Linked DNA regions of Mus musculus: all the other regions are reported to be linked to region 2. Evidence: microRNA targets listed by miRTarBase, many of them from high-throughput screens and not tested one by one. Region 2 holds a microRNA gene; each other region holds the end of a gene's coding sequence.

Evidence for each region. The annotated mature microRNA mmu-miR-363-5p reads CAGGUGGAACACGAUGCAAUUU and lies in region 2 at 2,491-2,512, opposite strand. An mRNA with a match to its seed (bases 2 to 7 or 8) in the 3' UTR can be bound and repressed. Matches are read on the target gene's strand: a 7mer-m8 pairs with bases 2 to 8, a 7mer-A1 pairs with bases 2 to 7 and ends in A, and an 8mer does both.
Region 1: the mRNA of Ufd1 is a reported target of mmu-miR-363-5p. Seed matches in the 3' UTR shown: 7mer-m8 at 1,270-1,276.
Region 3: miRTarBase lists Git2 as a target of mmu-miR-363-5p. Seed matches in the 3' UTR shown: 7mer-m8 at 1,566-1,572.
Region 4: the mRNA of Tnfrsf26 is a reported target of mmu-miR-363-5p. Seed matches in the 3' UTR shown: 7mer-m8 at 1,241-1,247.
Region 5: miRTarBase lists Aco1 as a target of mmu-miR-363-5p. Seed matches in the 3' UTR shown: 7mer-m8 at 2,077-2,083.
Region 6: the mRNA of Fam219b is a reported target of mmu-miR-363-5p. Seed matches in the 3' UTR shown: 7mer-m8 at 1,525-1,531.
Region 7: miRTarBase lists Tspan31 as a target of mmu-miR-363-5p. Seed matches in the 3' UTR shown: 7mer-m8 at 583-589 and 7mer-A1 at 931-937.

What each region holds. Positions count from the first base shown.
Region 1 is chr16:18,833,668-18,837,733 of GRCm38, forward strand. It overlaps Ufd1 (ubiquitin recognition factor in ER-associated degradation 1), which reads left to right. Exons shown (of 12, transcript NM_011672.4): 12 at 569-1,594. The coding sequence ends at 643. 2510002D24Rik (RIKEN cDNA 2510002D24 gene) reads left to right here and starts at 2,913. Exons shown (of 3, transcript NM_001033164.2): 1 at 2,913-2,952; 2 at 3,039-3,206. The coding sequence starts at 2,929.
Region 2 is chrX:52,739,250-52,743,315 of GRCm38, forward strand. Mir363 (microRNA 363) reads right to left here and starts at 2,518; the gene lies at 2,444-2,518. Mir92-2 (microRNA 92-2) reads right to left here and starts at 2,679; the gene lies at 2,589-2,679. Mir19b-2 (microRNA 19b-2) reads right to left here and starts at 2,817; the gene lies at 2,734-2,817. It overlaps Mir20b (microRNA 20b), which reads right to left and starts at 2,943; the gene lies at 2,864-2,943. It also overlaps Mir18b, Mir106a and Kis2.
Region 3 is chr5:114,726,331-114,730,396 of GRCm38, reverse strand. Git2 (GIT ArfGAP 2) reads left to right here. Exons shown (of 20, transcript NM_001347400.1): 20 at 3-2,986. The coding sequence ends at 215. Among named protein-coding and RNA genes, the nearest start is that of Mir7028, 8.8 kb to the right of the region's middle.
Region 4 is chr7:143,606,368-143,610,433 of GRCm38, reverse strand. Tnfrsf26 (tumor necrosis factor receptor superfamily, member 26) reads left to right here. Exons shown (of 8, transcript NM_175649.5): 8 at 374-2,749. The coding sequence ends at 390. Among named protein-coding and RNA genes, the nearest start is that of Gm15579, 8.3 kb to the right of the region's middle.
Region 5 is chr4:40,196,881-40,200,946 of GRCm38, forward strand. It overlaps Aco1 (aconitase 1), which reads left to right. Exons shown (of 21, transcript NM_007386.2): 21 at 674-2,129. The coding sequence ends at 787. Among named protein-coding and RNA genes, the nearest start is that of Ddx58, 41 kb to the right of the region's middle.
Region 6 is chr9:57,540,522-57,544,587 of GRCm38, forward strand. Fam219b (family with sequence similarity 219, member B) reads left to right here. Exons shown (of 5, transcript NM_001166364.1): 5 at 134-2,666. The coding sequence ends at 298. Mpi (mannose phosphate isomerase) reads right to left here. Exons shown (of 8, transcript NM_025837.2): 8 at 3,747-4,066. Among named protein-coding and RNA genes, the nearest start is that of Fam219b, 5.0 kb to the left of the region's middle.
Region 7 is chr10:127,064,388-127,068,453 of GRCm38, reverse strand. Tspan31 (tetraspanin 31) reads left to right here. Exons shown (of 6, transcript NM_025982.4): 5 at 72-185; 6 at 264-1,164. The coding sequence ends at 338. Cdk4 (cyclin-dependent kinase 4) reads right to left here. Exons shown (of 8, transcript NM_009870.4): 2 at 4,001-4,066; 3 at 3,734-3,869; 4 at 3,452-3,619; 5 at 3,190-3,299; 6 at 2,451-2,501; 7 at 2,218-2,353; 8 at 1,166-1,525. The coding sequence ends at 1,433. Among named protein-coding and RNA genes, the nearest start is that of Cdk4, 2.9 kb to the right of the region's middle.

The DNA.
Region 1 (4,066 bases), not on the chromosome of region 2:
TATGGTCACAAGGGGGAGACTACCAGAACACTGCCGTGTGGTTTGTAATTGAGTTGGGGTATTTGGAAGGGAGGTGTATGAAATGTCTTTCCAACTTAATGATAACTTCAGCTGAAAATGGCTTCTTAAGACATAACTGCCTCCATAAGTTGTGGAGAGGTTGTACAGTAAATCTAAACACAAAGGTGGTGGTGGACTCACACAGCTATCATCTGTGGGGTTCTCAATGCCATAAATGCAGGGACATTTGATGCTTATTTTATTTATGTGTGTGTGTTTGCCCTGTGTGTGCAGGTGCCCTGGCAGCCCCGAAGAGGGAGTCAGATCCCTTGGAGTTGGAGGCAATTGTGAGCTGCCCAGCATGGGTGCTGGAGACTGAACTGGGTCCTCTGAAAGAGCAGCACACACTTTTAACCCCTGAGGCATCTCTTCAGCCCCCCCCAGGGCACTTCTTATTATGATTAATGAAGTGGGGAAAGTAGATGGATGGCACACAAGTCCATGGAATAAAGTGGTTATTGTAAACTTTGAGGAGTTTCTGAAAATAATATCCTATTTTCATACCTAGGATGAAGCTGGAGGCAGATTCATTGCTTTCTCTGGAGAAGGACAGTCACTGCGTAAGAAGGGAAGAAAGCCCTAAGTCTAAAACTGTTGGCTGACTGGAAAATAAAAGATCCGATTGCACCTGGCTTACAGTTACTGGCTCTGACAAGTTCAGAGATACTCTGTTATTTATGGTTTGTTTAAAGTTACCTGAGAACTATCAAGCTTGTCCTGGATACAAAGCAGCAGAACTTGGAGGTTGTGTGCTTGATCTGGGGGAGAGAGCGCTGGGGTCCTCTAGGTGGTGGCCTCCTCCACTCCCTAACTCCAGCTTCAGGGCCCTCACAGCCTCAGCAGAGCAGCTCCCGATTCCTGACTCACTCTTCTTCCCCATGTCTGTTCATGGTGCAGTGTCTTTAGCCCATCATGGCTACTCAGGCCAGCACTTGAGTACCAGACAAAGATGGCCTCTGTTTTTATTTACAGTGACTCAGAAGGGATCTCATCCAGATGAAAGCGCTCTCATTTTAATCTGCTCGCTCTCAGTGAATTCCATGATGAAGCCAGATATGAAAGGCAGAATGAATACATGCTTGAGTAACGTGCCCCCGTTACATTTATTTTTTATTATTATTTTTATTTATTTTTGTGGCTTTTCAAGACAGAGTTCCCTGGCTGTCCTGGAACTCACTTTGTAGACTAGGCTGGCCTTGAACTCAAAAATCCACCTGCCTCTGCCTCCCAAGTGCTGGGATTAAAGGTGTGCGCCACCACTGCCCGCCCTCCGCTACATTTATTACCCAAGGTTCTGATGGTTTGTCTGTTTTTCAAGTGCTAGGATTGAACCAGAACCTCGTGAATATTAAGCATGCCACACACTCTGCCACTGAGGCTCCCCCATACCCCATTTTCTTACTGTTTTATTGTCTTCAGATCTGCACTTTGTATGATGTAAGGTCTTTTGACATGCTGATCCAGCTATTTAAAATTTGTTCCCTGAGAATAATTCTTATTGAAGAATTAAATAAACTGATTAAAACTCGCCTCTAGTTTGATATGGTATGTTGTAGATTGGTGGTATGGGCCACTAGCCAGAAGTCATAGGAAGGCCCCCTTGCAGCAGCACCCTACTTCATCCTGTCGTTAGAGACTATTTCCGAGACTTGTGGAGGCTGTAGGGATGGATGTCACTCCCTGATGCTTGGAGTGGAGCTGGTCAGGCCTAGCAAGGTCCTCATGGAGGGTGCACTTTCCCTCTATGTTTGTAGTTCCAGAGTGTGTCCATTTGCTCTTAGAAATATCCATAAACTTAATTGGCTCCTAACTCTGGCACATACATCATTACTGGCCAAATGTGGCTCTGGAAGGCATAAATGCTGTGGTAACCTGCCCGACCTGTCCTATGGGGCTGTCTCAGTTTCCCTAGCAGTAAGACAGCTTTCATTTGTAGGATTCTGTTAGCTAACTTGGTCAGGCTGGAAAGAGCTCAGTTAAGCACTTGTTCGTGCAGAGGATCCAGGTTTGCTTCCCAGCACTCACATGGTGGCTCATAGCCTGTAATTATAACTGTAACTCCAGTTCCAGATGATCTAAGTATATGTGTTGCACATACATAGTTATACACACAAGTGCACTAATAAAAATGTGACTGCATGTGTAGATAAGAGTACAGTGCTCAGGAGTCCCTTCTGTCGCCTAGAAGGATCAAACTAGGAGGGATCAAACTCGGGTCCTTGGTTCTGTTCACAAGTTTCTCTACAGCTGAGTCATCTCACCTTATGATCTCCAGTTAGGTTTTTTTTTTTTTTTTTAAATTGTTTTTGTTGTTGGGTTTGTTTCCTTTTTGAGACAGGGTCTCACTAATATATATATATATATATATATATATATATATATATATTCCTTTCTGGTCTAGAACTGACTCACTGAGATGTCCCTGCTCTTGTTTCCTGAATGCTGGGATTAAAGGTGTGCAACCCTGAGCCTGTCACTTCTAGGAGAACTTCTTTCACCCTTAGTCATCCTGCACTGCCTTCCTCCTCTCCATACACCAAATCAAGCTCACCTACACTCTGTGTATGCTCAGGCTACATACCTGCAATTTCAGTCCGCCAGGTGGGTTACTCAAGAGTTCAAGAGTCTGTACTTCAAAAACTGAACCACATACGGATTTGAAAAATAAAAAACTGGGAGAACTGACCAGAACTCCTGTTTTTTCCGAATGCTAATTAATACCTTATGTGACTTTGAAGCCAAGCCATCGGCTAGACACCAGGTAGTGTGGCCTCTGACTATCAGCCACTCAGTGCAGACGTCCTGTTTAGTGCGCGTTTGCTTGGAGCTCATTGGTTCATGTCCCTGTCAGTCACACGGGGCCTGGACATGGCGGTCGCAGGGAGCTGGCAGGTGAGTGTGCTTGGCTCCTGGGCTCCTGGGCTGGGTGGGATCAGGCCCTGGGGGCTGCCCGCGCTCTCCGCTGTCTCTCCCCGCAGCCTCCCCGGCCGTGCGAGGTCTACCGCGCCGAGTGGGAGCTCTGCCGCAGCGTCGGGCACGTCCTACACCACTACTACGTCCACGGCAAGCGGCCGGATTGCAGGCAGTGGCTCCGCGACCTGACTAACTGCCGCGAGTGGGAGGAGAGCCGCAGCGCCGAGGCCCAGGTGCGGGCTGGGTGTGGATGTATGCGCAGATCCTTGGGGCAACTCTCTCGTGTTTCTCTCCTGAGTACCAAACTGCGTTATCAACGAGACTTTAGACAGCCTCAGTTACGGGGTGGGGCGGCGCGGGGAGGGGGGCGCAGAAGGAAGGGAAGTATAGAGAGGCTTGGAGAGAGTAACCTTATAGCGTTAGAGTCATCAGCTTGACAGCAAGCTTGCCTTCACCCAGCCCTTGGGGATAGGACGGAGGAAGAGAAAAGCCAACGTGTCTGGAGCACGAGGGTGGGCTATAGAGGGCATAAGAATGAGTCCAAGAGCACCTAAAAATGTTCCAGTACTTGTGAATTGAGTTATCTTTGGCAGGTCAGTCTGGACCTGAGAGTGTGAAGGGTACTGTAGAGGACAGAGACAAGTATGGAGGCTGTTGCTGGACCTTTTCGAGGGAGATGTGAAGAAACCTCTACTTACTCTAGATAGCCATGTAGACATGGCGAAAGTAAAAAACATGGCGGAAAGCAAAAGACTGGAAACTTAACTGTCTGTAACTATATGTCAGCTATCATAAATTAGTGTAAGAAACAAAGATGTTTCTGAATAGAGAAATGGCCAGGGTCATGGAGAAGCAATTCACCGGGAAACTCAGAACACAGAAGCAATTATTTCTTTATTTTATTTTTATTTTTTTTTATTTATTTTTTTTTGTTGTTGTGATTGAGACAGGGTTTTTCTGTATAGCCCTGGCTGTCCTGGAACTCACTGTAGACCAGGCTGGTTTTGAACTCAGAGTTCCGTCTGCCTCTGCCTCCTGAATTCTGGGATTAAAAGCGTGTGCCACAACCACTAGGCTTCTATATAGTTTTTAA
Region 2 (4,066 bases):
TACCAGTGGACTACCAATGGCAATACACTTGTATTAAAGCAGACCCCTAGTAGTACTAAAGATTATAACAAATAAGCTTTAATCCCCACTTTTTAAATCTACTTTATTAGAAGGGAAGGAGGTCTTTGCTACCACATCAAACTTAACTACAATTAGGCACCAATAAAATACTAAGTCATAGCACAGGAAGTATCTCATTATTTTGTTTCTGTAATTACTTCAAACATTAGTGACTTAAGAAAATCCTACATACTTAATAGAGAATTTACTAGCCTCCATCTCTTTTCATTAAGATTTCATGTCATCACAGCAGTTAAAATCCATGTTCTTGACCACTCTTCACCTCCCAAGGAGAACAGAAGCCCCACCTCACTGGTGTAGGACCAATGTTATCACTGTATTTTCCCTAATGAAATGGAAGCTTAGGGAACTAGCTCAAAGGTGAAGTATAATTCAGTAAAAAAATTCTAACTAAATTGAACCTATGTAATGAGGTCCCCAAAAAGTAATAAAAGGCTTTCAAAGTTGGGAAATTCCAAGGCACAAAGAATGACACATAGTGATACCTCTCCCTTCTGATGAGAACTCAATGTTCAGATAGGTAAAACCAACACATACCTACCTAGTTTTTCCACTTACCAAAGACAGGGCAGTGTTAACATTAACACATGAAACAGAATGAGAAAGTGGGGTAAAAAATGTGCCTGAGTCCTTTCAACTTTATGAATTTGAAACTTAAAATAGAACCGGGCGTTTTTTTTTTTTTAACCTATAGTTCTTTGGGCGAGCACCATCAGCACCTGAGACTGGGTTACAAAGGCAAATCCTGAGGGCTCACCTGATGACAGTCACTCTCTGGAGATGGGACTGGCAGGGTTTTCAGTAGTGATAAAACCAAAGACTCAACGCAAACTTAAATTCCAGTTATATTCAAATGTTCCTTCAAGACATACCCTATAAAATTTGTTTTCAGCTCAGTGGGGGAAGGGCACTTGCCATCGGGCCTAAGAAATCTAAGATGTATGTCCATGACCCACATGACTAGCTCCCTACAGTTGTTCTCAAATCACCACATGACACACACACTAAATAAGTAGATAGATAGATAGATAGATAGATAGATAGATAGATAGATAGATAGATAGATAAATGTATGTAAATGCTGGAAGTCTAGGAGTGGAGGGGTGCCTACCTTTAATCTCAGCATTCTAGAAGCAGAAACACACAGATCTCCGCAAGTTCAAGGCTAGCCTAGTTTACAAATTGAGTTCCAAGCTAACCAGAGCTACATACCAAGACGCTATTTTAGAAAAGCCAATAGTATTGCTAATTTAAAAAGAGAGCCATTGCCATATCCAGGGATCCATCCCATAATCAGCTTCCAAACGCTGACACCATTGCATACACTAGCAAGATTTTCCTGAAAGGACCCAGATATAGCTGTCTCTTGTGAGACTATGCTGGGGCCTAGCAAACACAGAAGTGGATGATCACAGTCAGCTATTGGATGGATCACAGGGTCCCCAATGGAGGAGCTAGAGAAAGTACCCAAGGAGCTAAAGGGATCTGCAACCCTATAGGTGGAACAACAATATGAACTAACCAGTACCCCGGAGCTCTTGTCTCTAGCTGCATATGTATCAAAAGATGGCCTAGTCAGCCATCACTGGAAAGAGAGGCCCTTTGGACTTGCAAACTTTATATGCCCCAGTACAGGGGAACGCCAGGGCCAAAAAGGGGGAGTGGGTGGGTAGGGGAGTGGGGGTGGGTGGGTATGGGGGACTTTTGGGATAGCATTGGAAATGTAAACGAGGAAAATACCTAATAAAAAAAAAGAGAGAAAAAAAAGAGAGCCCCAGGCTGGAGAGATGGCTCAGTGGTTAAGAGCACTGACTGCTCTTCCAGCGGTACTGAGTTCAAATCCCAGCAACCACATGGTGGCTCACAACCATCTGGAATGGGGTCTGATGCCACCTTCTGGTGTCTATGGAGACAGCTACAGTGTACTTGTCATATAATAAATAAATAAATAAATAAATAAATAGAATCTTTTAAAAAAGAAAAAAGAAACCCATTTTTTTTCAGACTTATATATCAGCTTTATTTTGCAAATTTCAGGTTTGTTTACATTCAGTGCAATCAAAATGTCAGGATTTCAAATATATTTAAAAATATGTAGTTTTAAAAAATTAGACTCCAAGCTGGGCGTGGTGGCGCACGCCTTTGATCCCAGCACTTGGGAGGCAGAGGCAGGCAGATTTCTGAGTTCGAGGCCACCCTGAGTGAGTTCCAGGACAGCCAGGGCTATACAGAGAAACTCTGTCTTGAAAAACCAAAAAAAAAAAAAAAAAATCCACTCCAAATGTGTTCAAAGCAATGACTAGCTAAAGGATTTTACAATCTTACTATAGCACTGATAGACGGCTGTCCACATAGGTCCTGCGGTTTACAGATGGATACCGTGCAATTTTCCTCCTATTACACCAACCAAAATTGCATCGTGTTCCACCTGATAACAGCAAAACAGTTCATTTCATAATTACAGTCTAACATAACTTACAATACTCAGAAACTAAAAGACGATTAAAAACCCTCTTTCTTCCTCAGGCCGGGACAAGTGCAATACTTTATATCTAACACAAGTAATGCCACCAATCCCCACCTGTGGATGAATGGGCATGGATGCTGAAGATGTGCATAAAGGTGTCCATTACGATGCAGAAAGGTACACATTCCCACAATCAGTTTTGCATGGATTTGCACAGCCATATATTCACATATACGCTGAACTGCAAATCTGCAAAACTAATCGTAAGTAGCAATGTCCTTGCGCTGTAGTTGCTTCAACAAGACCTTGGTTGATCCAGGAGTACTAGAAGTGCTCACACTGCAGTAGAGTGGTATAAAAACTACCTGCACTATGAGCACTTTGGCACTACTAGGATCCGAGCTTGTTCTTCTACACAACTGTATACTACAGTCTCCGCCATCTGTTTCTCGGCGAAACACTGAAAGAGCCTTTGAAACTTGTGCCGTTCAAATCATTTCTCAAGATATGCTTTTCAAATGCAAGGTAAGAAGTAGCCTGTGCGAGAAGGGGCATTTAGGGCAGTAGATTGTAAGCTGCTTCACTAACAGCACTAGATGCACCTTAACACAAGAGACACATTACAAGGAGCAGCTCAAAAACATCCACAATCTAACTATGCAGAAACCAGGGGACTCAGCGGCCTCTGATTAAATCACCATGGTAATGTAAGAAGTGCTGGCACTGCAGTAGAACTCAAAAAGCTACCTGCACTGTTAGCACTTTGACATGGCCAAGGCATACTCCAGGAGTGTAACCTTGAAGTCTTCCACGAACTCTTCTTTGCCAGATCTGCAGACTCACCTGGATAAACACACACACACACACACAGCAAGTAAGTGAACTGTGAGTTACTATTTCTAAAACAAGTTTGCCTTCCGTTAAGAGTGCAAATGGGGTTGTGTTACTTCAAACATTAATAAGCTCAATTATTTACACAGACTTAAACATGAATAACACTGGCAATCTCAGAATGTCTGACTCTTAAGAGTAAGAGGATTTTGGACTCCCTCTCCGTCTAAGGAAATTTGAGATTCGCATCCCAGAAAATTTGCAGAGCTGTAATATCCACCATGGTTTTCTAAGAGGCAAGAGCCCAGGAAAAGATGTAAGCAAAAAAATAAATAAATAACATTAGGGTGAGTACTGACGTCTTGAGCTCATCCAGAGCTTTGGGGAGCCACTCGGAAGGTCTCTATGTTTGATTACATGAAGCATCCCTGCCCCCAGCCCATTAAGAGAAAATGATAGAAATTTCAGAGCCGCTTTAAGAAACAGTTTTACACTCTTCACATACCGCACAGATGGCCTAGAGATGTCACATTTTCATCTATTTCAAAGGGCTCTACTTCTGTTTAAACATTTATGGACCCATTTTCTCCATTAAACCTAAAGAAGTCAGATTAGCTCTTTGGCTTCATGTCATTATCTTCCACAGGAAAAACCTCTCTCATTTCCAAGTGTGTATCTTACCCAGGA
Region 3 (4,066 bases), not on the chromosome of region 2:
AGAAACCCAAGTCTGACACGGTGAGGACTTCCCTCCGCCTACTCACGTCCAGTGCCTACCGGCTCCAGTCGGAGTGCAGAAAGGCTCTCCCAGGAGACTCCAGCTTACCCACAGATGTGCAGCTGGTCACACAGCAGGTCATCCAGTGTGCCTATGACATCGCCAAGGCCGCCAAACAGCTGGTCACAATCACCACCAAAGAGAACAGCAGCTGAGCTCGGGTGCTGTCTGCCTGCCCATAGACTATACACGAACTCTTCAGATTTTTACAAAACATTTAATGATGATTTCAGACTTTTTAAAAGAAAGCTCAGTATTATTTTTTGCATGTTTTCTAACAGATTTTTGACTGTAATTTAACCCTTGCCTTATTTGTGCCTATTTGCAACTTAGTTCTGTCCTGTCAGATTGTCACCAAGTGCTTAGGTCATGACCCCATGTGTTCAAAAGTCATTGTTCCAAGTGTGTTACAACTTTCCTGTCCTTTACAATCTCTACCCATGCCTAAAGCTATAATTGATATTTTTAGTAAAACATTTTCTTAAGAGATAAGAAAGTTGGATTTAAAAACAAAAACAAAAACCCCAGCAGCAGCAGCAGCATCCGTCCCTTCCAAGCATCGTGCAGTCAATCAGGAAGCTTCCCTTCCATCCTGTGGGGTCTCTCCATGTGCACGAGGAGCAGAGCTTCCCACTTCCTAGAGAGAGCGCATCTCTTGGGAGTGACAAGGAGCGGATCCATTTCTAACTCTTGTATCATGTTAAGTGTTGTCTTATTTAATATTTTTATCTTGATTTTCTATCTATAAAGATTTTACCATCATGCTGATGTCTCCATAATGTCCAAAAAAGTAGTTAGAAATCCACCCTTTACATCAGCTTCCAGTCGGCCACATTCAGAGCAGGAGCACCGCCCACTGTCAGGGGCCTGCTTCCCCGCCAAGCCAGACAGTTTACTTAGAACCCTGAGTCAGTTTCACAGGCCGTGCTGCTGACATCCTCCACACGGCTCCTCTGGAAGGATGTCTTCCCAGGTAAGACGCAGGGCCTCCGTGTCCCCATCCCCTCACGGGTAGTTCATGATTAGAACTCCTGTGGCGCTGCACGAAGAGTTCCCCGTGTGCCCTAGCTGGTGGCAGCTCCCCCACAGCTCCCCAAGGGCAGAGGTTGACACCCAGGCCACCGCAGCACTGGCGCTCGCTGTGCTGAAGGCACTTTGTCGATCGCTTCTGCCTGGGTGGAGCTCTGGCCCTGACCTGAGGGAGCAGGCAGTGGCTATGTTGCCAGCCAGGTGCACAGACAGCCAAGGGCGGCTAGGGACCCCACCCAGCCTGTGAGGACAGCAGCTTGTCCCACTCATACCCCTCATGCAGCTGTAGAAAAGTAGCCTGTGGCTGCCAGTGCTTTGGTTTTTCAAGGAACCAGAAGTTTGAGTTATTTCTTGACATTTTTCTTTTCTTTTCTTTTCTTTTTTTTTTTTTTGGTTTTTCGAGACAAGGTTTCTCTGTGTAGCCCTGGCTGTCGTGGAACTCACTTTGTAGACCAGGCTGTCCTGGAACTCAGAAATCCACCTGCCTCTGCCTCCTGAGTGCTGGGATTAAAGGCGTACGCCACCACCGCCAGGCTTCATGACATTTTTCTAATCAGAAATGTGGACAGTCAATCCAGACATGCCCACTGAACAGGCTGCCCATCTCAGCCTCCGCTGGGGTCTGTAACCTGCACATGAGTGAACCTGTCAGCCAGCCCTGGAAGGCAGCATCAGTCTCCCATAGAACGACCAAAGTGAGGTGACCTCAGTATGCTGAGCCTGCCTCATAGTCCCTCTTACAACATGGCCAATGCATCCTGGAGACAGCATCACCTCAACGTGAGGCTCACAGCTCGGAGGAAAGGCTCAGCGCTCCAGGGGCCTGCCCACTCATCGATACACACAAGCCTAAGTGCTGGAGGATGTCCAGCAGGGCCTTTTAGAAAGGGGCCGGCCAGTGTGAGCTCAGGCATCCTCTCTGACAAGCTTTTCTGCGTGCTCCAAGGATGACTGCTCTTCCTGGCAGGCTCCCTGGAGCTGGTTCCAGCCTGAGCTGGTTCCCACCATCCCCAGAGAGAGCAGGCCTCTGTTGGAAGCTTCCGGGAAGAGAACTGTTAGAGGTGGAGTGGTGCAGTCCCGTTAAGTCACGAAGAAGAATGCTGTCCTTGAGAAATCAAAGAACACGGGGCCAGTACAGCATTTCCAGACGCTCTCAAGAACACCAGTCAGTCCCATGTCCTCCTCAGGCTGAAGGCCCTGTGTGGAGGCCTGAGGAGACAGCAGGAGGGGCCCCACACAGTCCCTCCTGAGACCTGGCTGGGGTTAGAGCATACTGTTCCTGTGGGCAAATGCGTTTTGTCTCAAAGCTCGCCCTGGCCGTTTTTGGGTTTTTTGCACGTGGGTCTCATCGCCTCGCAGGAGTGAGCTCTGCATCCAATCTGGCTGCTCTCTCCCCTCTCTGGGATTCTGCCTTCCCACCTGTGTACCCCACTTTCTAAGATGGAGAGGATGAAGACACAATTAATGGAGCAGGCCCTGCCTCAAGCTCCGTTCCCGGAAGGCACTGTGGCCTCAGCACCACGGTCTTTACTTGCCAAAGACGAAGTCCAGTGTTGCGTGCACTCGGGACTCTTAACGGCACAGCGCAGGGGCTCTGCCCTGACCTCAGTGACTTCCATCATGGAATGCAGCCTGAAAGCCGCGTGTTTTCATCCTCCACAGCTTCGGTGGGCTCGCAGTGCAGTTTCCTTTCCTTCTTTGTCCTAGCTGGCTATCACCCACGCTCTTACAAAGCAAAGTGCAGCATAGAGAAAAGAGCATTGCATACCTGGTGTTAAGCCCCCTCGCTCCTCCTCCTCTGGTGGCTTCTCAGCATCCTGAAGTTACTGTCCCTGCCTGTAAAATCCTTCTGGAATCTGTGCCCCACTGGTTATGCAATAAATCGTCTCTTTAAGTGTGTGGTCATGTGCCCCCTCTAGTTGGTGGATATTTCCAGACTAGGTGGGCTGGGGGGTTGAGATTTGGTCTTTTGTTATCTATTGTAAAGCTAAGTGCGGGCTCCCAAAACCTGGTTGTCCCAGAGACAAGAGAGTCCCCACTGAAGACATTAGGTGACCCTGTCCCCATGTTAACTCTGATTGGAAAATAGAGATTCCAATAACGGGGCAGAAGAGACATAGGTGAAGTTTGGGTTTCGAGGGCTTGGGGTTGGAGGAGGACCATGAGGAAAAGAAGGCAGCAGGAGGGGGAATGAGAGCAGCCATGGGTTAGGAGGAAAAAAAAATGGCTCCGTGGGCTGGCCAATTGGAGTTAAGAGCAGCCCAGATAGCCGGGCAGTGGTGGCGCATGCCTTTGACCCCAGCACTTGAGAGGCAGGGGCAGGTAGATTTCTGAGTTGGAGGCCAGCCTGGTCTATAGAGTGAGTTCCAGGACAGCCAGGGCTACACAGAGAAACCCTGTCTCGAAAACAAACAAACAAAAATAACAGCCCAGATGAAATATAGTAATAACTTGGGGTTGTCAGTAGGAAATAGATCCTAACAGCATAGATGGGTAGACAACGGCCTGACTTTCATACTGTTTAAGGTTATGGTGAATATGAGGGTTGTTTGTGTCTTTCATCCAGGAACCTAAACAACAAAGTCAGGGTAGAAACCTCAGACCAAGATTAAATACTTTCTGCAACAGTGGGGGCAAGCTCCCATGTGGCTGATCTGTAAGGAGACATGGTTTAAGGAGACATGGTCTTGGCTCAGTCTCCTTCCTATGTTCTCTGTAGCCTGTTTTGTTTTGTATTTGAGGCAGGGTCTCATGTAGCTTAGGCGCACCTTGAGCTGTCATCCCCCTGCCTCTGCTTCCTGAACACTGGGATTACAAGCATGTGCCACCATGCCCAGCTCTTCACCCATGTATCCATCTAACCCGGTAAGCTTACCCCAGTCATTTTTAGGTCGGCCCAGGCTGGCCCCGCACATGCGCCCTCCTTCCCAACAGGCAGTCGGGTGATAAAACTAGGCCCACAGTGGGGCCAACCTTA
Region 4 (4,066 bases), not on the chromosome of region 2:
TCATTAGGATAAGGAAGGGCAAGGTCAACCTCCATAAACTATTCACCCGGAGCCTCTGGCCTTCCTAGAAGACACCAGAAGTTCTTTCCATTAGGCTTCCATTAGACACCATTAGTTCTTTCCATGTCAGGCTTCGCTGCTTTCTGCCACCTGAGTAACAGATGGATAATAGGTTAGTGACAGTCTTGATCAGCCCTGTCCCAGCCTGGGTCTCCTGACCACTGGGTATTACTTGAGGACACAAAGAGCCTCTCCTATCCTGAGAAGCAGAATCACAGAACCACTGCAACTTTCCTCCTCAACATTCAAGAGATATAAATAGACCGACCCTTGGTTGTGTGTGTGTGTGTTCACTTTGTGTTTTATTTTCCAGCCTCCACTATGCTATGAAGCTCCGGAAAGTAAGCAGATGGCATTCCTGAAGATCACTGGATTTAAGGAAGTCGAGGAAGCAATGAACACTATTGTTTCTAAACTGGAGACTGACCTTGCAGGAATGTATTTGCAAACTGTGGCAACTTAGCTGCTAAAAATTGTGTTTGCTTCACCCTCGAGCTAGAGTCAAGTGTCCTTTGATACAGGACTGAAACATTCCAAATAGCCCATCTGAATTTGGAGCTGACATTCATCCCACTGCATACCCCGTGGACCCCCAGATATATGATGTGCCCTTCTCTCTTGTGAAGACCAGAGGGTTTCTCTCTGTATGCAGCCAGAGGGCTTCTCTCCTTGAAGCCTGCCTTGGCTGGCCTCAGAGTTAGGAGGTTTTGTGCTGTGAACTCGTAAGCTAAAGTCAGTTTGGGTTCATGGTGCTCAGTATGTTTTCCTAGAAGGCAAGGATGGGAGGACCCAAAAATGTTGTCCTTTGAGCCCACATCAGGATGTGGCCCAGACAAGGTGCTTTGTTATCCATAAAAACCCATAACAAAGCCCCTGGCAGGCCAGCCTGAGCAACTGTGGACTTTGCCACATCAGACACTGGGAATAGTGTCTGTGTTTTTAGGCTCTCCATCCCCCAGGCATCTCAGAACTAGCCTTAGTCTTTAGTCCTCTCAACCCACAGTGAGCAGATGGAGGTGTGAATGGGAATTTCTCAGAAGCTATGTCTACATAAGTTAATTGATTAATTTATTATTATTTTATTTTATTTTTGGTTTTTAATAAGATAGGATTTCTCTATGTAGCCTTGGCTATCCTGGATCTCCCTTTGTAGGCTAAGCTGACCTGGAACTCACAGAGATCCACCTGCCTCTACCTCCTGAGTGCTGGGATTAAAGGCATACACCATCACTGCCTGGCTTAACATTTTAATGATGTAGAGAGGCATAGCTTAGGCTGTTCCAACCTAAGCAATGTCTTGCCTCCCTCTGGGTCAGAACTAACATGCTGTAGAGGGCACAAGGTTCTTGTGCTCACAGAGAAGTAGACCTGTTTTCCACCCAGATGTCTGGGAATGGATATAGTTAACATCCTGGTGTTCTGTGCTATTTGTAGACCTAGCACACACTTGAACAGACTATTGTCTTTGTTTATCCCAGACTCTTCCTCCATAGGCCTTTTGCCTGCCAATAGGCCCTTTTCTTGAATACTGTTGCTCAATAAATCTCATCCTTATAGGAGATGTCACTGTCACTTGTATATTAGAAAAGCCTAGGGGACCTCTGTGCTACCTGTAGGGCCAGGCCACTCTTGACTGCCACCGATTTTTATATGTGTTTATCCCAGATTTTTTCTTCTTAGACCTGTATCTCCAGCACTGTTTGTGAGTCAATAGACCTCTACCTCTGCCAAACTTATCTTGTTTTGTTTGTTTGGTTGGTTTGTTTTCTTGGTGTAGCCCCAGATGTCCTGGAACTCACTCTGTAGACCGGTCTGGCCTCAAACTCAGGAATCTACCTGCCTCTGCCTCCCAAGTGCTGGGATTGAAGTTGTGCATCACCATGCCAAGCTAACAGATCCCGTCTTTACGGAAGAGGCCATAAGTACTTTGTAAACTGTGTCAATGTCAACCTGTCTTAAGCATTATTGTACATAAGTGACCGAGTTAATTATCATCAAAAAACTTCCCCCGGAAATTTGTGCTGTGCTTAAATACAGCTAAAGTAAACTGCTGGGGTCAGACTCTAGAAGTTTGACCTAGCATAGGCTAAGTTGTGTTGAACTGGATTTCCTTTTGGCCTCAAATGGATCATTAGGCTGCCAGCCTTGGTGTTTGCAGAGATCCCCAAACATCCTGACAACAGATTTAAACCAAACCAAACCAAACCAAACCAAACCAAACCAAACTAACCAACACTATAGAACTATTCACTTGATAAAACTATTCTCCACCAGTCCAAGTACTGTGAATGCTGTCATATATCTGAAGCCAGAGCTGAGATTATCACTGTGCTGTAACGTTTAACCCTTCCTCTAGTGTGTCTGAAGAACGCCTTACTTTATAACTTTTTGTTCTGTTCTACAAAACTCCATGGAGCCATGAAATTGGGGTACCTAAATCTATGCTTCTAGGGCCATGGTCACTGAAATTTGGGTACGAAATAAAGTATTTCTAATTCCTTTTGAAAGCTGTGTTTTTGCTTCTACTTCAGGACTAGGGATGATGTCAGGCCCCAAGACCCGTTTGTGTGCTTTGAGCTTTTTGAAATATTAATGCTACCAAGGTGGTGCTTCTGCTCAAAGTTGTACAATATCACAGTATGTGCTTTGACCATTTCCTTTTTCTTTGTATTATGTGATGGTTGATTCTTAATTAAAAAACATTTTACTTGATATGTAATGATGTGTTTTAGTTAGGTTTCTATTGCTGTGGCAGACACTAAGACCAAAAGCAGCCTGGGGGAAAGAGTTTGTTTCGTTGTACACCTTGTAGTCCATCACGAAGTAAAGTCAGGGCAGGAATTCAAGCAGGAACCTGGAGGCTGGAACTGAAGCAGAGACCACAGAGGAAGACTTGCTCCTTATGGCTTTCTCAGCCTGCTTTCTTGCATACCTCAGAACCACCTGCCCAGGGGGTGACACCACCCACAGTGGGCTGGGCCCTCCCACATCAATCATTTTTTCAACAAAATGTAGCCAAGTGTGATGGCCCAAATCTTTAATCTCCAAATGGAAAGCAGGCAGATCTGTATGAGTTCTAGGCCATTCTGGTCTACATATAAGTCCCAGAACAGAGACTAGAGAGACCCTGTCTCAAAAAATAAAAGGTCCCACAGGCTTGCCTATTGTCTTATGGAGGCAATTTTTCAAATATGGTTGAAATGTTGAGATAACTCAAGCTTTTGGCAAGTTAACAAAACAAAACAAAACAAAAAACAACTAACCAGGACAAGGGGTTTTGCCCTGCATGTGCCTATGTACCACATCCATGCCTGGTGCCATGCAAGCCATAAGAAAGCCTTGGAAACTCTGGAGCTGGAATTATAACTGGTTATAAGCTACATGGATACCAGTAATTGAACCCAGGTTCCACTGAGTCATCCATCTAGCCCCCTGAGGGTTAATTATGGTTTTCAGTACAACATGATCTCTTGTGCATGCCCTGGCTCGCCAGCAAGAACGACGCTGCAACAGGATCCTTCTGCACATTGGGAGAGCTTGATTGCAGAGGCGAAGAGACCCTAATCCCAGAACTGGTGCTGCTTATATAGGCCTAGGAGAGGCGTGTCTCACACCCGGATTGGTTATGCATGGGTTATGCTTACCACCTCATTTGCATGTCTCACATCTGATTGGTTAACATGTCTCTCATCTGATTGGTTAACTTCTTTCTCATCTGATTGGTTAACTTGTCTCTCATCTGATTGGTTAACTTGTCTCTCATCTGATTGGTTAACTCTCAAAACCTCATCTTGGCAAAAAAAACTTTACTGCCTATGTATGCGTGGTGGCCAGCGGTAACCAGCGCCACCCTGCAATGGCACATGTGGCTTCCCACAATGATCTAGAGTCGCCCAGGAGGTGACTACAGGCATACCTCTCAGGAAATTTCTAGATCCAGTTAATTAAGGTGTAAATAAACTGTGAGCCCAAACACACTTTCCCTGCTTTTGTCAAGTGTTCCCCC
Region 5 (4,066 bases), not on the chromosome of region 2:
TAGGTTGTACGCCATGCTGGGGAAGGAAGTGTGTTACTGGGGGCCGAGTTGGAGAGTTCGGAGACTTACAGTTGCAGTTCCCTCGAGTGCTCATCTTCCTCCTGCAGCTGTGGCTCCCACCATGATGGAGTCTGAGAACCATAAGTTGCTTTGGTCATGGTGTTTTCTCACAGCAACAGAAAAGTAACCCATGTCGAGGTAATGACACATCGTCAGGAGAGGCGAGAGTAAAGTGCCCTCTGCCAAAGTCCCAAGGGGATTTGACACTGCAGAGACAGCTGCTGAGGTCCCAGGATGACCCAAGGCAAGCAGCTGGATCAGCTGCTTAAGGAACAACCCCAGAGACCTCTGCTGCCCAGAGCATGTCCAGAAAAGACTTAGGGCAAAGCGTCACAGTGTCACTCATAGCTGCTGCCCTGAGAGGACACTTTGTTCTCATGTGCTACACCTGTGTCATTAATTCTGCAATGCTCCTCAACCTCTGGTGGGCACATAAATTCCCAGGGTTCTTGTTGGGTGCAGAGACCACTGGTTCCATCCGCTGCTGGCACTGTGGGCATATACCACGCCCCAACTGAGGCCAGTGGGCAGCCAAGCCAGGCGGAGTCTCCCTGAGGTGGGAGTCTCGGTTCAGCCCCGCCTTCAGCAGCGCTCTGCCTCTTTGCTCTTGCAGCTGGACACTGGGAAGACCTTCCAGGCCGTGATGAGGTTCGACACTGATGTGGAGCTCACGTACTTCCACAATGGAGGCATCCTGAACTACATGATCCGAAAGATGGCCCAGTAGGTGCTGACCTCTCAGGAGACCCGCACTTGGTGCTAGACCCAATGAGGAACCAGGCCCCCACTGGTGGAGGCCTGGCAGAGCAGCCACATCTACTTCTGATGAGGGTGCTGGCAGGATGAGCAAGTGGGCACTGCCATTCCTGGAGGCACAGAGCCAGGAGTCTCTAGTTTTGTGATTTGTTCATCTTTTTATCCCTTTCTGTAATCTGGATTCTAGAATCACGGGAAGGTCCGTAGTACCAAAGAGAACTCGCTTCTCTTTAAAGTCACGGACATTGATTTTTTTCCCTCTGACTAATCTTGAGCTCAGCACTAGCCAGTATTCTCAGAAGTGGCTCCTACCCTTTCTGTTGTTCTGTGTTTGTCTCTGCTCGGTGACACCCTTCCCTGGAGAGCCCAGTCCTCCGTGTATTACACCAGTGTTAACTGACATAGCATAGACCTTCTTCACACTTCAGATTCATAGCAGCGATGGGATCCCTTCCTTTGAAGTGAACAAGTCCTTGTAGATAGGTCACCCGTCAAAAGTGTTTGATTATCTACCTTTCAATCAACATGAGATTGCCTCTTACCATTTTCAACGATTGTTGACAGGGGTCCTTTGTTTGAAAATAACTGGGGAGAGATACGGGATTTCTAATTTGAATAAGATTAAATATATTTTCATGAAAACGTGTTGGCTTTGGAGTTGAGTTCTGTCGGGGGAATGTCGCGACACTGAGAGCCCCGGAAGTCCTTCGAGTCCTTCGAGTCTGCTGTTTGTACCCCTGCGTCTGAGCTGCGGGCACAGAGGGAACACTGTGGAGCCAGCGTGTGAGCAGCTAGTGTCAGCGCAAAGGACAAGAAAGCACCTTCTGTCTTGGTCACAGCAGCAGCAAAGAGCATATCGCAACTTCTTGGTGCCCTAAAATCTCTTCACTGATCTTCATAACTGGAATTATTTTAGGGTGTGCCTTATTCTGCTCAGGCTGCTGTAGCAAAATGCCTGAGTAAGAACCAGAACTGAGAACTGAGCTGTGAGTGACCCAAACCCTGAGCCTTGTCCAGACCACCCAGTGCCTGTGATGGAGTAAACATTCCGCTGGGGGAGGGGTTGCTTTGTCTCTCTTAACGTTTTATCTTTTCTTTCCTTCTTTTCTTTTTCTTTTTTTCTTTCTTTCTTTCTTCTTTTTTGTTGTTGATGTTGTTGTTGCTGTTGTTGTTTGGTTTTTTTCGAGACAGGGTTTCTCTGTATAGCCCTGGCTGTCCTGGAACTCACTCTGTCAGCCAGGCTGGCCTTGAACTCAGAAATCCACCTGCCTCTGCCTCCCAAGTGCTGGATTAAAGGTGTGCGCCACCACCGCTAGACTGTGTCTCTCTCTTTTTTTTTTTAACTAAAAAGTAAAAATTGTATTTACTTCGTACATGATTTTTTACTATGTAAACATCATGGAGTGGCTGAATTGAGCCTCACATTCTTACTTCTTGTGGTGAGAATACTTCCAAGAATATATTTTTCGAAGAATATAGGATGTATAGATTTCAACAGCAATCTCTGTGCTGTACTGCTTCTTCCTCCTGAATGAAATCCCACGTTCTTCCATGTTTTCACGTATGGCTTGTACTATTTTCTCCATTCATTTCATAGCTGACCCTTCACTGCCTCCTTAGCTATGACGTCCTCTCCGCCCCCGTAACTACTGCCGTGAACATTTAGACATAGTGAGATTGTGCTGTTGTCTTCCTTTTGTGCATGGCCTTTTTCATTTAACACAATGTCCATAAAGTTCATCCCTGTTGCCACAAGTAGTGTATCTGTGTGTACAGGCGTGTGCCCTTTGTTGTCTTTACTGATTCAGCCGTGGGTAGACAACCGGGCAGACGCTACCCTAGCTTTGTGAGTAGCACTGAGATGAATGATGCTGCAGGTGTTCCTCAACAGACTGGCTTGATGCCTTTGGGTGCATACCTAGAAGTGGAATTCCTGGGTCATAAGAGTGGCCTTTGTGACTTTCTGGAGGGCTCCATACTGTTTTCCTGTTACATGTACCTGTATATGACCTCCTACTGTGTGTGCATCCCCTCTCCCGTACTCTCAACAGTGCAAACCTTGATTTTTTTTGATATGGTTTTAACTATGGTTTTATATGCAACTCCCTGATGATTAGTGATGTTGAGTATATTTTCATGTATGTATCAATCACTTTTGTGACTTGTTTTGAAAAACGTCTGTTCAAGTCCATTGCCCATTTTTAATTGAGTTATTTCATTTTGTTGTTGAATTTTAATACCACCTATCCTAGATAGTAAGTATTTATCAACTATTTTCTCCTATTTTGTAGTCAGTCTTAACCCTTGACTATTTACACGGCTAGAAAACTTTTATTTGGAAGCAGTCTGGTGGGCCCGTTTTCCTTTTCGTTGCTGAAGACGTAACTATAAATAGCGCCATAGCATTTCTTGCATTTATCTAATCCTTTCTTGGAGTGAGGTCTTATGCTTAAGTCTTCAATCTGTTTTGAGTTGCTTTTCATATAGTGTGAGATAAGGGTCCAGCTTCGTTCCTTTGCATGTGGACATCCAGTTTTTCCAACAGCATTTATTGAAGACAGCTCTTCTCCATTCACTGGGTGTCTTGGCTTCCTTGTCAAGTCCTAGCCACGCCGGTGTAGGTCTACTTCTGCGGCCTCTGTTGTTTCCCATTGGGTTCTGCATCTCTTCTTAGGTTAGCAGAATGCTGTTTTCATTGCTGTGTCTTTGTAATATATTTTGAAGCTTGATAACGGTAATAATTTCAGTTTTGTTTTCCTTCTTGGCATATCTTTGGCTGTTGGGAATCTTGTGGATCTGTGTACATAGTAAGGAAGCTTTTGCTTTTTGGGAAAATACAGCATTGGGAATTTCCTAGGATTGCACGGCATCTGCAGATCATGGTGTTAGCGCAGACATGTTAATAACTTTAATTTTTTTTTGTATGGAATTTAATTTTCTTAAGCCCCCGTATGGCTCATTAGTTGTTCAGGAGCATAGTATTTACACATTTTTTGCACATCTCTAAAATGTCTCCTGTTACGGGTAGGTGAGGACTCACTTCCACGTGGCTGTGGATGTCCCTCTTGGCCCCTTGTATGCGCGGTGATGTTCTTTGGTGGAGTCTCCTGTCTGTCTAGTGGAGGTTTGGAGTTGTGATTGCAGTGAGCCTCAGGAGTCCAGTGATACCGCAGGCTGTTTTAAAAGCTGGGCGCACATATGAAAACTTGCTCTTCCTCCGACATTTTGTATTTTAAACACCATGCTTAAC
Region 6 (4,066 bases), not on the chromosome of region 2:
TGCACAGAAAGGGCCGTCCTTCTGTAATGCAGGATGTGCAGAGGCCTGGGGCTAGGTAGAGCAGGGACCTGCCTTTAGGCAGCAGCTCTGTATGCCTCGCATCCTGTTTTACACTTCTGTCCTCTTCCTTTAGCAGGTGAACCAGGATGTGAGCCGGCAGCTGCTGCAGGATGGATATCACCTGGATGAGATTCCAGATGATGAGGACCTGGACCTCATTCCTCCTAAGCCTATTGCTTCTTCCGCGTGTTCTTGCTGCTGGTGCTGCCTTGGGGATTCTTCCTGTACCCTCCAGTAGCCATAGCCCTCCAGGATGGGCCGATGGCCCCAATGGCCCTTCACAGTGATACTCAGTGCACTGGGTATCACCGCCAGCCTAGAACCACTGGAGGCATTGACCTCTGGGGAGGCCAGTGGCCTACAGGAGCCCTCACCTGGTGCTTCTCATGTCAGAGGCCCCCGTCTGGGTCATAGGTGATAGGTGGAAGTCGGCAGGTTCCCACTGGGGCAGTTTCAGGAAGCCACTTTAATAAGGGAGGAGAAACTTCCTGAGGTTCTTATGCTGATTGCTAAGAAAACCATTTACAGACATTCTGACTCCTCCTGAGGAGGGAGAAGAAAGAACGAACTCCTTCACTCAGGCTGTGCTGGGGGTATGGTGAGAGGCAGAGAGCAGCACTTTATGGCTTGCAGGAGGAATCTCAAAGAATACAGCTGGGAAGCGCCAAGTGGGTTGTTCCTTAGGTTACAGCAAGGAATCTAACTTAATGATGGAGTGGGCCTGTGGCTTTCAGAACCTCTGAACTTGGACCATTCTGCTGGCCCTGCTGTCTGGATGGGCTTAGTAACTCTGTTGGCCCTTCCCCTGTTACAAGAGAACTGCTCTGTTGTATATGTTTATTTATCTGTAGTTCCTTGGCATTGGAGAGTTTCTCCGACTTTTTTTTTTTTTTTTGAGGTAAAAATTGGATTGGCAGGAATCTGCAGTTTTTGTTATTACCAGCAGAGGGAGCTGCTGGGAAGTTAGTGCCTTCCTATGTTTAGCTGTGTAAGCTTTTGAGAAGTATTGATGGATGAGAGGTGTCCTGGTGTAGCTGTGTGACTCTGGCCTACATGGAAATGTTTAGACAGGATGGGAAGGGGAGACTTAAGCCAGCTCCTGGACCCCACTTGAGTTGATGAATCTGCAGTGCAAGGAGGCCTTCCCTCTAACAAGGCACATTTCTCTCCCCAGCACAGGGCTCACAGGCTGGTAGAGCACTTGCCTAGCCTGTGCAAGGCTAGGGCTGATGCACAAAACAAAACAAAAAAAAAAGCCTCTGGGAGAACACAGCTAAGCCCCAAGCCTGAGACTCAGTACTAAGCCTCTTCCTGGAATCTAGTTTTCCCAGTCCCCCTCTGCCCGGGTCCTCCTCTTTGGGGTTTTTTTTTTTTTTTTGGTTTTTCGAGACAGGGTTTCTCTGTGTAGCCCCCTGGCTGTCCTGGAACTTACTCTGTAGACCAGGCTGACCTTGAACTCAGAAATCCACCTGCCCCTGCCTCCCAAGTGCTGGGATTAAAGGCGTGCGCCACCACTGCCTGGCCTCTTTGCTTTATCTTACCCAGGTGTGTGGTGAGGCTTGGGGTAGATACGGTTCCCAGCATAAGGGGCGGCAATAGTCAGAGTTAGGGGTTGGGCACCACATGTGACTGTCCGTCCAGTGATTACTGGAGGCTTAGGAGAAATGATATGCCTGCTATGTCCTTTCATAGGTAGTAGCAAAAAAGGTAAGATCAAAAGATAAGGCTTTCCCTATTACTTGGCCACAAATCTGTTCTCATGATTGTTGCCAGTGCCTAGCAGGGGGTTTTGTTGTTGCTCTCAGGCTGTGGAAGGCTGAAAAGAGTATACTATGTCTAGGGGCTTTTTACTCGACTGCTTGGCAGCATCACAAGAAGGAAGATGGGACAGAAGCCAGAGGCACATCTACTTGGTTCTTGGGTTGGGTCATAGATGCTGCCTGGGCTCTACAGTGGGAGTCTGCAACTCTGTGCAAGGATCTCATTCTGAGCACTTTATGTATGGCCTGCAGGGAAGGAACACAGACCATATCCAGGCTTCTAGGGCTCTGCAGAGGTGGAGTCCTCATGTGCAGAGGGAACAGAGATAGTACAGAGTAGAGAAAGACTTGGTGGTAGGGCTCAGTGAGGCCACAAGGGCTTGTGGAACTTAAGTGTGGAGTTCTATTTCTGTTTGGTTAAAACAGAGTAGCCTGGACATTTGGCAGCTCCTGGGGGTGGGCAGTGCCCAAGAAACCACACTCTCTGGGGTAGTTGTACTTGGCTAGAACTGTCCCTGGAAGGAAAGTTGTCGAGCTAGGTGGCCTCGTGTGGAAAAGCATTACTTGTGGAAAAAGCTCAGTAGTGTCCAGCTAGGAGGGATAGAAATGGGCAGCTGTTAGGGGACAGACAAAAATAACACCAATAAAGGCACAGAGGTGCTCACACCCTAACTGCCTTAATTCCAAGGGCTGGGTGTTCTGCGGGAGGCTGTCCCTGGGAAGGAGGGCGTCTGAGCCTCCTCAGGAGTGCCTGTGCCTCCCCCACGTTTGTTTACACTGCCCCTCAGTCCTCTTTCTTGCCTTGCACTTTCATAGTCTGTTATAATAAATGCAGTCCTGGTAGTGAGCTGTACTGTGCTGCAGTGGGTGGCTTGGTTTGGTTTGGTTGGTTTGATACAGTTTTTCTGTGTAACCTTAGCTATCCTGGAACTCACTCAAACTTAGACCAGGCTGACCTCAAATTTAAGAGATCCACCTACCTCTGCCTCCCAAGTGCTGGGATTAAAAGCCAGCTTTGGTTTTTTAATCTTATGTGGGGGGGGGGGGTACACTTAAGTGTGTGTGTACTACATGTATGCAGGTGCAAGAGTCCATAGAAGTCAGAACAGGCGTCAAATCTCTTAGAACTGGAGTTACAATTGTGAGCCACCACATGGGAACTGGGAATGAAACCTGGGTACTCTGCAAAGACAGCAAGTACTTTTTAACTGCTGAATTGTGTCTCCAGCCCCCAATACATAGCACTAGCCTGAGCTGTCTGATAACCTCAACAATACATAAAGGGGCTACGAAGATGGCTCAGTTGTTAAAGTGCTTACCATGCAAGTATGAGGACCTGAGTTCAAATCCCTGAGCCCTCACCCCAAGCACCCAAATAAGAAGCCAAAAGTAGTGGCACACACCTGTAATCCCAGTTCTGAGGAGGTCAAGATGAAGGACCACTGAGACCTGCTAGTTAGTCAGTCTAGCTGAACTGGTGAGTTCCAGGCACCAGTGAGAGACCCTGTCTCAAAAAAAGGTGATGGTTCTTGAGGAGTAACACGCAGGTGCATGTATGTGCACATACATGCCATGTGCACATACATGCCATGTGCACATACATACCATGTGCACATACATACCATGTGCAAACACCAGGGGCCATTAGGAAGCAGAAGCAGAGCTCCAAAGCCAACCTTTGGAACATGAAGACAGTCTCAGAAAAAGTCAACTACAGGAGCAGAAGGCCTCCCTGCAAGCTGTCCAACTGAGGCTGGAGCTGGCTTCCTCTCCCACCCCTTCCTGTAAAAGCATTCTGGAATCCAGCCTGCCCACCCCCACGAAGCTGTATGAAGAATTCAAACCAAACCTGGACATCATCAGAGAGCTCCTTCCTCCCACATCAGGGACAGGCATACCAAAGGCTGACTGCTCTTCACTCTGTATCCTCAACACAAGTGATCTTTAATTACTTTGACGGAGCTAGAGGGAATACGCTTCATTAGTCCACTGGCCTACCCCTTCCCTTCCTTCCCTTCCCTTCCCTTCCCTTCTCTGCAGCTGAGAGCATGCTGAGCTAATGCTGGGGGATGCATGCTTTGTTAGCCTAACACCTCAGCTAGGGCAGAGTGGTTGCCTCTTTGGTGGACACACTGGCTCAGAGGTAACAGTGTTGAGAGGGTACAGAAGAGTGGCAGGCCTCAGGCTTCATGCATACAGAAACCTTGTCCTGAAGATGGTCCAGCCTGGGCATGCTCCTGGAGTTA
Region 7 (4,066 bases), not on the chromosome of region 2:
GGACATTCACTACAGCTTTTTGGACAGGGCAGGTGAGCAACTTTGAATTCTCTATATATGTCTGTTACCAGGTGTGCAAAACTAAGAGCTCTACATGCCAGATGTGTGGGGAGAGGTTCCTTAAACATTCAGACAAAGCCCTCAAGATCCTAGGAGGTGTTGGGCTCTTCTTTAGTTTCACAGAGGTAATGACTCCTCATGTACACACTCAAGCCTTCAACCCCATGGTCCAGAAATAACCTTTCTCTCTTCCTCTCCCGTAGATCCTTGGTGTTTGGCTAGCAATGAGATTCCGGAATCAAAAGGACCCTCGAGCCAACCCCAGTGCCTTCCTATGAGACTTTTGACCTCCCAGATAGCATCTCTGCAGCCTAGGCTGTTTCTAGCTAGCTCTGTATCCAAGGAAGACCTTGAATTCCAGACCCTCCTGCCTCAGCCTCCTGCTGGCATCACCACACTCAGCCAGCCCCTGGATCCTTCTGACTTGGCTTTGCCATTTTTTTGTTTTTTGAGACAGGGTTTCTCTGTATGGCCCTGGCTGTCCTGGAACTGTGTAAACTAGGCTGGCCTCAAACTCAGAAATCCACCTGCCTCTGCCTCCCAAGTGCTGGGATTAAAGGCGTACACCACCACTGCCTGGCCTTGCCATCTTTACAAACACCTAGGGGTGGCCCTATGGTTTTGTTTTAGAGAAAAGAGGTCCCTTACCTCACCCCCAAGAACTGGTGGTTGGACTTATGTCTGTTTTGATGGGAACACGATTATGGATGAGGGGAGGTAGGCCTCGGGCCCTAGGAGGGTAACTGCACCCCCCCCCCAAGACCCTTGGCTTCAAGGACAGAGTCAGAACACCAAGAGAAAACCAGTTATAACCCAGGGCCTCACAAGTGCTCGGCAAGCATTTCTACCAATCAGTTGTCATTCCCAGCCCCACCTACAGTCTCATCAAAGCAGGACCAGTGAACTTAGAAACTAAAGCCATTTTGACCGAATATTCAAAGAAAGCATTTCTCTCTGATCTTGCCAGCCAAAGAGCTGGACTGCCTGCCTAGGTCCTTGCAGGGAACTTGTTTTCGTGTTTTTTTTTTGTTTGTTTGTTTTGTTTTCCCCAAGTCTCCCAGTGGCAAAGCCAATTGGAAAAAACATTAAAGAAAAATAAAGACCATACTCTTTGTCTTGTCTTGTTTTCCTGTATAAAAAAGATCCCAGTATAAATCAGGGAGGGAAGAAGACAGATACACCTGCCCTTTAGTGTAGAGCTAGGGGAGGGTAATGGGGGTGAACCTCGTAAGGAGAGGTGGGGACTTGTTATTTAAGGCTTAAAATATTCTCTGTAAAAAACTGGAGGATTCTCCACAGCCTTGGGGGGAAACAGAGGCTGCCGCTTCAGCGAGGGTTTCTCCACCAAGACTGGGAAAGGCAGCCCCTCTTCTCACTCTGCGTCGCTTTCCTCCTTGTGCAGGTAGGAGTGCTGCAGGGCTCGGAAGGCAGAGATTCGCTTATGTGGGTTAAAGGTCAGCATTTCCTAAAGGGAGAGGACAAAGGTCAGAAAACAGCTCAGGAGCCGATGCTGATGCCCACCCAACATGGCTGTTTCCTTTGTCCCACTCTGGCTGGCCATTCCCAACAGCAGTGACAACTACAGCCTGCCCACAGCTACATCTTAGCTTCAGGCTGGTCTGGGCCCGTCTGTTTCATCTCTGCGTGCACGTGCTCATGTGTGAAATGCGGGCACGCACATGTGCGTGTATACATGCAGAGGTCAAGAGTCTGGGCTGCCAGTCCTTGCCTTCCATCTCATTGGAGACTCTGTCAGCGCTGTATTACCAGGGATCTGTCCATCTCGCCCCGAGTGGCACTACAGGACTGGAGAGATGGCTCAGCAGCTAAGAGCACTGACCACTATTCCAGAGCTCCTGAGTCAATTCCCAGCAACCACATGGTGGCTTACAACCATCTGTAATGGGATCTGATGCCCTCTTCTGGTTGTGTCTGAAGATAGCTACAGTGTACTCACATACATAAAATAAATAAATCTTTAAAAATAAATAAATAAATAAAAAAGGAGTAGCACCATAGAAGCACACAACTTCTATATGAGTTCTGGGGATTTGAACTCAGGTCCTCACACTTATGCAAAGGAACTCTACCCACTGAGCCAGTTCCCCAGGCCACGGTATTTCTTATCTTAACCCAATCCCCGCCCAGGTCCAGTACCAGTAGCAGCTGCGCTCCAGACTCCTCCATCTCTGGCACCACTGACTGCACTGGCCGAGGCCCTCTGGGGGCAAAGGCTCCTCGAGGTAGAGATACCTCTCGAGGCCAGTCGTCTTCTGGAGGCAATCCAATGAGACTGTGGGGACAGGACAACTCTGTTAGGAGGGGCCTTTCCCAGCTCCTGTCTCCGCGGCAGCAGGAAATGTCTTTCCTTTTCCTTATCAAATACTTACTCAAAGATTTTCCCCAACTGGTCGGCTTCAGAGTTTCCACAGAAGAGAGGCCTAAGGCAGAAAAAGACTCAAAGTATGTGTTATATCAAAAATAGGGGAGTGGGGGCTGGAGAGACGGCTCAGCAGATAAGACTGCTCTTCCGGAGGTCCTGAGTTCAATTCCCAGCAACCACACGGTGGTTCACAACCATCTGTAATGTAATCTGAAGTCCTTTTCTGGTGTGTCTGAAGACAGTGAGTGTACTCACATACATGGAAATAAATACATTTTTAAAAGAAAAAAAAAATTGAGGAGTAACCGTTATGTAGACCCAACTAGAGAGTGTGGAGACGAGGAACGGGAAGATCCTAAATCCAGGGCATGCCTATATGGTTTCTTGGTTCTAGGCAAGGTGGTCAGTATGAACTGGGTAGGCTGGATGTCCCGTACCATACATGCACAAAAGCGAATGGTCAAGAACAGGCATGTCTGTAAAAGACTTGGGGGCCGACGGAGTGTGAAGTTCAGTGGCACGGAAGCATTTACTGAGTGTGTGTGAGTTCTGATTTCAACCTCTAGCACAGTAAGACAAGCAGCCAAAGCTATGTGCAACTGAAGGTAGGTTAAGAGCTTCAAGTCCCATACGGGCGGTGGTAACGCATGCCTTTAATCCCAGGGCTCTGTGAGTTCAAGGCCAACCTGATCTACGGCCAGGACTAACCCTGTACCATTAACAACAAAAAGTTTCTAGTCCCATACTTCCGACGGAACATCTCTGCAAAGATACAGCCAACGCTCCACATGTCCACGGGTGTTGCGTATGTAGACTGCAGAAGAACTTCAGGAGCTCGGTACCAGAGCGTAACCACCTGAAGAGAATAGTAGAAATGAGTGAGTGTCGACCTCACGAACCAGACCTGCCTGGCTCTGAAAACTTCATGTACAAGACTCCTCAGTTGCTATGGGAAACCACCAAGAGCTACCCCTATCACAACCTAGTCGGCTAACGCCTTTTACTGACCACAGGCGTGAGGGCCATCTGGTAGCTGTAGATTCTAGCTAGGCCAAAGTCAGCCAGCTTGACGGTCCCATTACTTGTCACTAGAATGTTCTCTGGCTTCAGGTCCCGGTGAACAATGCAGTTTGCATGAAGAAAATCCAGGCCGCTTAGAAACTGACGCATTAGATCCTGTTTTTCAAGAAGAAAGCACAGAACACCGGAAACTATGTATCACTTCAAAATCCCAACAACTTCTATTGCAAAGATCGGTCCACCCTCGCCCCCAGCCCCACCCCTACTCACCTTAATGGTCTCAACCGGCAGGCCCGGTGGAGGTGCTTTGTCCAGGTATGTCCTCAGGTCCTGGTCTATATGCTCAAACACTAGGGTGACCTTGATGTCCCGATCAGTTCGGGAAGTAGCACAGACATCCATCAGCCTGAGAAGAACAAATGATCACCAGCTAGTCGTCCCCTTTGTCTCAACGTGGCCTCTGGCGTTCTAGGGTCCCACTCCTGCCTTACGGGTCCTATTGTCCTCTCCGCCCCACTCCCAATCCAACCTTCTCACCGTACAACATTGGGATGTTCAAAGGCCTCCAGCCTCCTTAACAAGGCCACCTCACGAACTGTGCTG